Kluyveromyces lactis: one gene and its partners. The main gene of each other region encodes a partner of the protein of the gene in region 2 in a complex. Links are inferred from orthologs where the notes say so. Each region holds a gene or a part of one and is shown on either strand. Other genes may lie near its edges. A codon is read from its position in the direction of its gene.

Region 1 (2,661 bases), on a different chromosome or scaffold from region 2:
GCGAATACTTCTGATAAAATTTCCTTTCAAAGGGTAAGGCCACATTTATATGAATTGACAGGACCTGATGCGACAGCAGGACATTTAGCTTCGTTTCAAAGTCCGAAAAAACGGTTCCAACTGCCTTCTGATATTGGAGCTGTTGATTTAACAAGTATAGATATCACGAACGTGTTTGACCCCGAGATACGTTTGGTTTGTGGTGATACGAATGGTGGCATATATGTGCTACGGAAGAACACCGGTACCAATTATAGCGGTCCATTACAAGAAGTGATAAAGTTACCGGAAGCGCACGCTAGTCACATCACCAAGACCCAATTTTTCCCTAACGGCCATGGATTCTTAAGCAGTAGTATCGATATGCGCTTGAAGATTTGGGATGCTTCAACCGGTACTGAGCTCAGAACTTTCATAGGTCATACTCGGTCAGTCAACGATTTTGCCATGGTCGATAGAGGTAGAAACTTCGTCTCTGCAAGTTCGGATGGATCATTAAAACTATGGGAATGCTCAACTTCAGCATGTGTCTTTACGCTCAATTCAAACGATGGCATAAATTGTATTTCATTGGCCAATTACCAGGGAAATCCAGCGACCACATCGTACAATGCATTGGACCATAGCAACGAATACAATACTGAGGGGAAAGCTGTATTTGCTGGACACGACTCTGGTATCATCACGTTTCATGATATCTATAACAGAAAGAAGATATTGGATATTTTACCGGCAAGTAAATCTGCATGTGTCACTCTAACGAGCCAGCACATTGCAGGTGATGACCATTACCTATTTGCTGGCTATTCGGATGGTACGATAGTATCATGGGATACTCGTAACGTTTCCAAACCGGTGGAGACGCTCCAGGTAAATGATAATGATTCTATCTCAAGATTATTCTTGGCACATAACACGTTGAACGTTTCTAGTGGGGTCCAATTTGCTTTCAATGTACCTGTTTTGGACGGGAAATTCAATTTCAATAAGCTTACACATCTAATTCGTCCTTATGATGAAGTGACTGATTTCTGTGTTGATGAATCACATCAAAATGTTTGGTGCGTCGGAAAAAATGGTATGCTATTGAAATACTGATTTGTCGTCCAGTCTAAAAGAGAAGCAATAGAATTGTAAATAGAATTATACCCATATATAGTCCAATAAATTATCCATACGTTGCTCTCATCAATGTGTATAGTAATATCTGCTTTGATATTGTATCCTTCTCTTTTAAACCTTTCTTACTGTGCATCTGAAGGCACCAAAAATCATCTTGAAATCTTAACATCAAAATGAAGAAGTTAACCTTCTACCTCTAAATATGATGATCATGAAACACCCAAGTAAGCCACCAAATCACCTTTGAAGGACGATATAGCACTATAATTTCCTACACGATGAGTAGAAGGATATCTGGTGCTAATGACCCTTTGCTAGACATGTTTTTCGATGATGATTTTGTACCTCAAGCATTCGTCGACATATTGTTATCATCTTTCCAGACAAGCCAATTAGAAGAATTGAAGACCAATTGCTCTAGTCTACTTTCAAAAATGGACTATTACAGTGGGCATATTACAAAAGAACTTGAGTCCACTATTCAGGTGCTTCAGAAGCCTGCTGAACTTATTATATACGCAGCAAATGAGGAACAGCAAGGAACAACAAAACTAGAGTATTATTTGGATACTCTAGCGAATAGTGTGAACTTATTAGAGACAGACGTTAAAGCTATTGATAAACAATTAGAAGAGCTGAATTCTAAATATGAAGACAGTAATGAGGTAACTGAAACCTTATCAAAGCTTACAGCAGCTAAAGAGCATCTGGTAACTGTTAAGAGATCATTTGATCTATTAAAGACCATAATGGATATTTCAATCCAAGATGATCAAGAAAAACTACAGCATATTTCGTTAGATGACTTTAAACTTGCATTATTGACGTTACAGGAGACCATTATCATTACATTAAAGAAACCTCAGAACGATGCAACCGATTTGTTGAAGAAGATAGACGCATTTATCGAGTTGAAAACTGTTTTGAAGGGACTTCAAAAGTTCTATATCCCATACACAGAATTTGCACAAGCTATTCAGAAGGAGAAGGATAATTATCTAAATAGTAAGGATACACTAGATGAGTTATGATTTTTATATGTGACCGCGAAAGTTGTTCTATATAATTGTGATCGTTGAACGATTGAATAATTCATTACATCAAAAGCAAAGCAATACTCATCTTCAGAATGAAAATACGATGTCTTTAAAGGATACACATATAGTATGTAATAGATGTAATACTTAGCCGAAAACTGATTCAGCGTTATGCCATTATATTATAGCCCTTTGAAACGTATCTTTACGCAATAATTCAGGTCTCAGCAGAATTATTGTTTCTTATTTTCATTAGGTCCCGTAATATGAGAAAAACCACCAACAGCACCACCAACTAAAGTGGGTACCATAGTCACTGAGGCGATGAATGAATGTTCTTCTTCTGATTCATTTTCATCACCACTTGAGCTTCTCCATCTGTTGATTGCTGTGATAGGATTGTATTTAGAGGGCTCCGAAGTAGGTGGATGCACCTTATGGCTGATCATATCAGATTTGGCCCGCTGAAAAGCCGTAGATTCCACTAAGCTAGAGTCATTGG
Region 2 (2,989 bases):
GGAGAATCAGTGAATCAACCCAAATATATTGATCTGGATGATCTACTACGTTCACTCGCGAATGTCCGTCTATCTTTTGAAGAAGTGCAAACTCCAACAACAAACTCTGTTCTTTACAGACGTGAACTATTTGACGTTAAACATCAATTGATGTCAGAAGTGGATTCAGGCACAAATAATGTTGAATTGGAGATTTTGATGGGTGAAACCAATGAAGATTTGAGGAGAAATGTGTACGAAGGTGGTTTGAAATCATGGGAATGTTCAATAGATCTAGTAGACTCATTTGTTAAAAATCCAGCACAAATTTCCCAGTGTCAAAATATAATAGAGCTAGGATGTGGGACGTCGCTTCCATCGGAATTTCTTTTTATGGAATATCTAAGATCCAACATCAATACCGGGATTAATTTCACATTATGTGACTATAATGAAAGTGTGATTAGATTGGTATCCATTCCAAATTTGATCGTATCCTGGGCGAAAACTGTGATCAGTAATGAACAATGGATAGAGCTACAAGCTTCTGAAGATTCGAACATCCCAATCGCCTCTGATGAATTACTTCTGACAGAAAAATTACTTGAAGCTTTCAAGTCTGATTTAGAATTTAGAAATGTATCGTTTTCGTTCATTTCAGGTTCTTGGGGAAGGAAATTCATGGATGTTTTAATTGAACACAAGGCTACCCCGTTATCAAACACCTTAATATTAACCGCAGAAACTATATATCAGCCTGATACGCTCCCGGTTATATCAGAAACCTTAATTGAGCTAATCGTGGATAACAAAAAGAACTCATACCCGGTGAAATGCCTGCTTGCAGCAAAAGACATATATTTCGGCGTTGGGGGCAGCATAGTGGATTTTGAAAACTATATCGCCAAAAGGATAGCAACCGATAACCTTCCATTATGTTTAAATAAATTTAAGGTAAATGCTGGATTGAAAAGATCAATTGTACTAATAGAGTGAATCGCCACGTATGACTCTTTTTAAGGCTTGATCATCAATCACGTGATCAAAATCACTTTGTCGACATTGTCAGATTCATATAATATCGTGTAATTCAATCTTTAAATATAGCTTGCATTAAGCGAATGAGCATCAGCTGTACTATAAGGAGATAACTACTGTACTTAGAACCCCAGAATGGCTCAGAACGATCCACTTCAAGGCTTTGAGGATTTTCTCGAGGCTGATTTTCAGCCATTGCGCTTTGCAAACGATCTATTAAAAGTTACAAATAATGGCACAGATACGGATGTCTTGGACCTGAAGACGTGTGTGAAGAGATGCTCGTATGATCTCCAAGAATTAGACAGAAGAATTGAAGGTGCTATCAAGACCAACCCAAGCCATGTGCTAGAACAAATTGAGAAGAGAAAGAAGGAAAAAAGCTTTGTAGGAGATACTCTCAAATCAAACACGGAATATTTGTCTATGTCGTACAACAGATTACAACAAGACATCTTAGAGCCATTTGAAAGGGCACTTAAACTGCAGACAGTTTCTAGTAAAATTCATCAAACTACAACATTACTGAGAAGTTCCTTAATATATGTGCACATGATATCTCAGTTGCAAATGATGCCATTAGAGACAGACTCTACTGATGATGAGCAACTAGCATGCGGGTTAAAAATAGCTGCCTTACATTCACAATTGAAGATTAATATTGAACAAAATCCCAACCTGGCAACTTTGCAGCTGATAAAATCATGCGAGAACAATGTGGTTTCTCCAAATCGACAGGAATTATTGCGATATCTTTCCACCAATTTGACAAGGGATTGTCTAAACAATCTCAAGATGGAAAACAACCCTAAGAGAATTGTGACTTTAATCAAAGCATTGTATACTTTATCTCCAGTAGATCTTTTTGATACAATTGACAAAGTACTCAGTTCAAAAATTCAAACGACGGCTCAAGTGCTATCTAAGACCATCACATCCATTAGAAACTTCAACCTGTCATTAGATGATGCCATGGAAAATAGAAACTCGATACTCACTTTACAGAACTTAATGGAAGAATGTGAGATTGAAGGAAATACGAACACTCTTCGCAATTACCTATCTCAAAGGAAATTTTCCTCGTTGATCGATCAATTTTGGTCAAAAGTCACTAATAGTTTCAAAAGAGATTTCGAAATGTCCTACAATCGCGGTGGACCTGTCGGGAAATCTCTGCAAAGCAATTCCAATCTAATATATGAAGCCATTAGTAAATGCTTCGGTGAAAATGACCCTAGTAATGAACTACAAGGCGAACTGCAGTATATCTTGAAAGCCGTTAGTATATTAGATACAAACAGGAAATAAAAATCAGGCTTATATTTGTATATATAGAGTAACAAGACTGGTCCTTTATGGTTTAGCCTTCGCCTTACTTATAGCACCTGCATCTGCAAGGGGGTTCGTAGCCTTCTTTTTGTTTTTCTTTCCCCCACGCTTATGGAACTTCTTCTTTAGTAGCTTCTTTATCTCTGAATCTCTTTGCTTCCTCAGATCTTCTCTCTCTTTACCGTGTAATCTTGCCATTCTCTGCCTTTTACCTGGCCTTTTTCTCCGTAAATGCCTGATACGAACCTGCTCTGTGTGGACTTTACGATTATGCTCATCTACATCTATTACTTTTCCTCTGAACTGAAGCCATCCGGGATACGGTCCCAGCTCAGCATATTTTAATATTACATCTGCAGACACTGCGGCTGCAGAAAAGTTATGTCTGTCCTGCTCTGAATATTCTGCACAGTAATACGTTCTTGCTCTACCTATTGGAGCTGAGTCTGGACTCGGTTCACGAAGGCTGACCTTTATTAGGGCCGTTGCCTTTCTACCTCTGTTTTCATCTGTCTGTACACTTTCGCCAACATCATTCGCGGGGGTTGTTGAATCGGTAATGGTTCCAAAAGAGAATAGTGGGAATTCAAACTCTTCTGCGGAATTGTTAACATCCGATTCATCATTTCTGTCCGACTTTATA
Region 3 (2,836 bases), on a different chromosome or scaffold from region 2:
ATAAATAGATGAGAATTTTGGTTGGAATTACCGACTGCAGCGATTGTGTTTGAATGAATTTGGTCTATTGTAAGTGCGTCCCAGTTGTTAACGTGCACACTTGGCTTGAACGAGGTCACCAAATCATGATCTGATAATTTAAATAACTTAATGACACTATCTTTTGCTGGAATTGCATATTGGTCTCCTTTATTGGTCCATGCAACTCTAGTGCATGTTCTGTTATCTTCGCATAGCATAGGATCAAGTCCATCTATAGCGACTGAATCGGCGTTTTCAGTATTATTCTCAGTGTCCGCTGGTAGATCATCATTGAAGAATATCTTAGGTAGCTGATCATGCAATGTGTGGATTCTATTGGGTGTAGTAGAACTTAAAGAGTAGAATACAACGTTACCGTTACTGAGTGATACTGCTAGAATGTTATTTTGTTTGTTGTATGATAAACTAACCAGTTGTTCGTCCAAAGTTAATTTAACGTTTGAATTTCCCTCTTCTAATGCAACCAATGTCATTTCTAAATCATCCCCACCTACAACACATACTTTATCATCATGAACTAAGGCCAAATCACGCAATGGTAACGAGGATCTAAAGCATAACTTGTTCTTGTTTTCCAGTACATTGTACCAGTATAGGTCGCCATTGCGGGAAACAACATATAAACCATCAGCTGAATTTTGACTCAAAACAAATGCGCTTGGTTCTTCACAAATATCAATGATATCAGGTTCCTTCTCAAGATCAGTTAAATTAAGAACTTTCACCAATGCGTTCTTATTTAAAGTGAAAAGTCGAGAACTGTCACTACTCAACCGTGCCTGGGTGTTCCCACCAGCAACAAATACCCTATTTTCAGTTAGTTTAATTGCCATTGGATGTTTCTGGGTATGTCTGAAGGAAACTATTCACTAATATACTGAGAACTGAGCTTTTTTCAGTGCATCTTATAGATTTCAAGCAAGTTGTGTCTCATCTTCTACTTGTTAAATCACCAAGACGCGTTTTTTCTGTTAAAAATACACGTTAGCTAAGAAGACAGAAATGAAACACAGAACTAGCACCATCAAGTATTAGTTGACACTGTTATAGTAGTGACAGTGCAGTGCATGCAATTGCCACAAGGTAAGGATGAGGTATTGGACCAAAAGTATCTAAACATTCTTGATTATAGATTTACTTATCTTAAGGAAAATTAGTCACGTGATGCGCAGTAATCATATCACCCTTATTCATCTGTATTGCACCATCAGTTTAGTAAGTGTGTTCCGAAAACTACCCATTCAAACACATGTATCGGTCTTTGCCCTTGTTATATACATGTATTTTTCTAACTATCAATTCTATTCAGCGTTCAAGATATTTAAAGGTACGAATCGATCCTTATATTCGAACGATCATTACCAGAAAAACGGAACAAGAGCGAAAAGAGAGGGAAAGTACTGTGTGAAACTACTCTCACCCAGCGATGACCGACCTAAATGATGATTTGGATCTACCAGTAACTAAAGAACTAAGCAGAGAGTTAGTTTCCAATTTTGTACGGAAGAATGGCTGCTTAGATATAGATAAGCTATTACTTGAGAATAACTTCCAATACGTATCGTTAGACGAACTCTCATATGAAGTATCTGCCTTGAAGCAATCAATGGAACAAACTATACTGGATGAAATCAATGACAATTATCCCGAGTACATGGAAATATGTGACAGGTTTAATACTAGTGACAATAACGAGGTGTTGAATAAGTTAAAACAAGTCTTGAATGATCTACAACAGTTCAACAAGCAATTACTCCAACTTTGTGATTCCTCAGTGGCTGAAACTAGAGAAAAAACAGTAACAGCATTATCCTACCTAAAATCGCTTGATAACCTATTTGGTAAACTGGACGATATCACAAAGCTATCAGAATCGCTAAAGATATGCCAGCAACTTGTATCATCCTTACAGTCTATGGTGCAGCTGAATATCGACGACGAGCTTTCCTTCACAGTGGCAAAGCAGCTCTCTACTATACTAATACGTTGTGACTACAGATTTAGACATTTGGAAGACAATGATTCCACCCTAATTACTCGAATGAGAAACGACTTTAAAAGTATTCTCGAGACCGCAAAGCCTTTAATTAAACCCGTTCTCGAGAAGCAGAACCAGCAAACTCAAACCATAAAAACTTAAATATATGATAAATGCGAACCCAATTCAAATAAAGTGAGATTCCACCCCCTAGGTGGAAGCGAGTCTACGCTATGAGTATCCTTACGTAAATGTGTATAACATCTCTGACTTTGAGCCTCATCTCATCATAATGAACGATCTTGAATTTTTCAGTTCTTCACAACAAAAGCATCAACAAACATCACAACTAACATTAAATCTATAAGAACGAACTGACAATATAGCAGGGCCAGCGTACTAACAGAACACTGTGAATATCGATAAGGTTCAATTTTCTGTCATCAATTAGCCATGTTTGGTGCAGTGAATTCGGGAAATAGTTCAATGAACAATGGCGGCGGTTTATTTGGTAACAAACCTGCTGCTGGAAACACAGGGTTCCAGTTTGGCGGTCAACAACAACAACAACAGCCACAGCAGCAGCCTGGTGGTGCTGGTAGCTTGTTCGGACAGAATAACAACTCGATAGGTAATACATCAAACACTGGAGGAGGTCTGTTCGGAAGTACACAGCAACAGCAGAAACCTTCTACTGGGGGTTTGTTTGGCAACACGAACTCTGCCGCGGGAGGAACAGGCGGGTTGTTCGGCCAATCCAATCAGCAGAATAATACCAATACTGGGTTGTTCGGCAATGCAAACTCTACAGGAATA

The links.
Region 1: the proteins of COG5 (region 2) and COG7 are in contact, whole or in part, in a crystal structure (PDB 4U6U), measured with the Kluyveromyces lactis proteins. Residues at the interface, in XP_455247.1 of Kluyveromyces lactis: Ile107 (codon at 1,471), Pro110 (codon at 1,480), Phe111 (codon at 1,483), Arg113 (codon at 1,489), Ala114 (codon at 1,492), Lys116 (codon at 1,498), Leu117 (codon at 1,501), Gln118 (codon at 1,504), Val120 (codon at 1,510), Ser121 (codon at 1,513), Lys123 (codon at 1,519), Ile124 (codon at 1,522), Gln126 (codon at 1,528), Thr127 (codon at 1,531), Thr128 (codon at 1,534), Leu130 (codon at 1,540), Leu131 (codon at 1,543), Arg132 (codon at 1,546), Ser134 (codon at 1,552), Leu135 (codon at 1,555), Val138 (codon at 1,564), His139 (codon at 1,567), Ser142 (codon at 1,576), Asn181 (codon at 1,693), Thr184 (codon at 1,702), Leu185 (codon at 1,705), Gln186 (codon at 1,708), Leu187 (codon at 1,711), Ser190 (codon at 1,720), Cys191 (codon at 1,723); in XP_451390.1 of Kluyveromyces lactis: Phe16 (codon at 1,446), Phe17 (codon at 1,449), Asp18 (codon at 1,452), Asp19 (codon at 1,455), Phe21 (codon at 1,461), Pro23 (codon at 1,467), Gln24 (codon at 1,470), Phe26 (codon at 1,476), Val27 (codon at 1,479), Asp28 (codon at 1,482), Leu30 (codon at 1,488), Leu31 (codon at 1,491), Ser32 (codon at 1,494), Phe34 (codon at 1,500), Gln35 (codon at 1,503), Leu39 (codon at 1,515), Glu40 (codon at 1,518), Lys43 (codon at 1,527), Cys46 (codon at 1,536), Ser47 (codon at 1,539), Leu49 (codon at 1,545), Leu50 (codon at 1,548), Met53 (codon at 1,557), Asp54 (codon at 1,560), Tyr56 (codon at 1,566), Ser57 (codon at 1,569), Ile60 (codon at 1,578), Thr61 (codon at 1,581), Glu63 (codon at 1,587), Leu64 (codon at 1,590).
Region 3: COG5 (region 2) and COG2 share a complex: the UniProt entries of both Saccharomyces cerevisiae proteins name them as parts of the conserved oligomeric Golgi (COG or Sec34/Sec35) complex. The link is inferred for Kluyveromyces lactis from reciprocal best matches to the Saccharomyces cerevisiae genes COG5 and COG2.

The regions. Positions count from the first base shown.
Region 1 is NC_006037.1:777,134-779,794, forward strand, and holds COG7 (Golgi transport complex subunit COG7), read left to right. Parts: upstream 1-1,400; coding exon 1,401-2,153; downstream 2,154-2,661. Other genes in the region: RPN14 (Rpn14p), read left to right, coding at 1-1,098; calcium-transporting ATPase PMC1, read right to left, coding at 2,393-2,661. UniProt on the Saccharomyces cerevisiae protein: Acts as a component of the peripheral membrane COG complex that is involved in intra-Golgi protein trafficking.
Region 2 is NC_006042.1:348,269-351,257, forward strand, and holds COG5 (Golgi transport complex subunit COG5), read left to right. Parts: upstream 1-1,152; coding exon 1,153-2,325; downstream 2,326-2,989. Other genes in the region: HPM1 (protein-histidine N-methyltransferase), read left to right, coding at 1-975; KLLA0_F03707g (uncharacterized protein), read right to left, coding at 2,371-2,989. UniProt on the Saccharomyces cerevisiae protein: Acts as a component of the peripheral membrane COG complex that is involved in intra-Golgi protein trafficking.
Region 3 is NC_006038.1:974,784-977,619, forward strand, and holds COG2 (Golgi transport complex subunit COG2), read left to right. Parts: upstream 1-1,468; coding exon 1,469-2,182; downstream 2,183-2,836. Other genes in the region: chromatin-binding protein CTF4, read right to left, coding at 1-875; FG-nucleoporin NUP57, read left to right, coding at 2,474-2,836. UniProt on the Saccharomyces cerevisiae protein: Acts as a component of the peripheral membrane COG complex that is involved in intra-Golgi protein trafficking.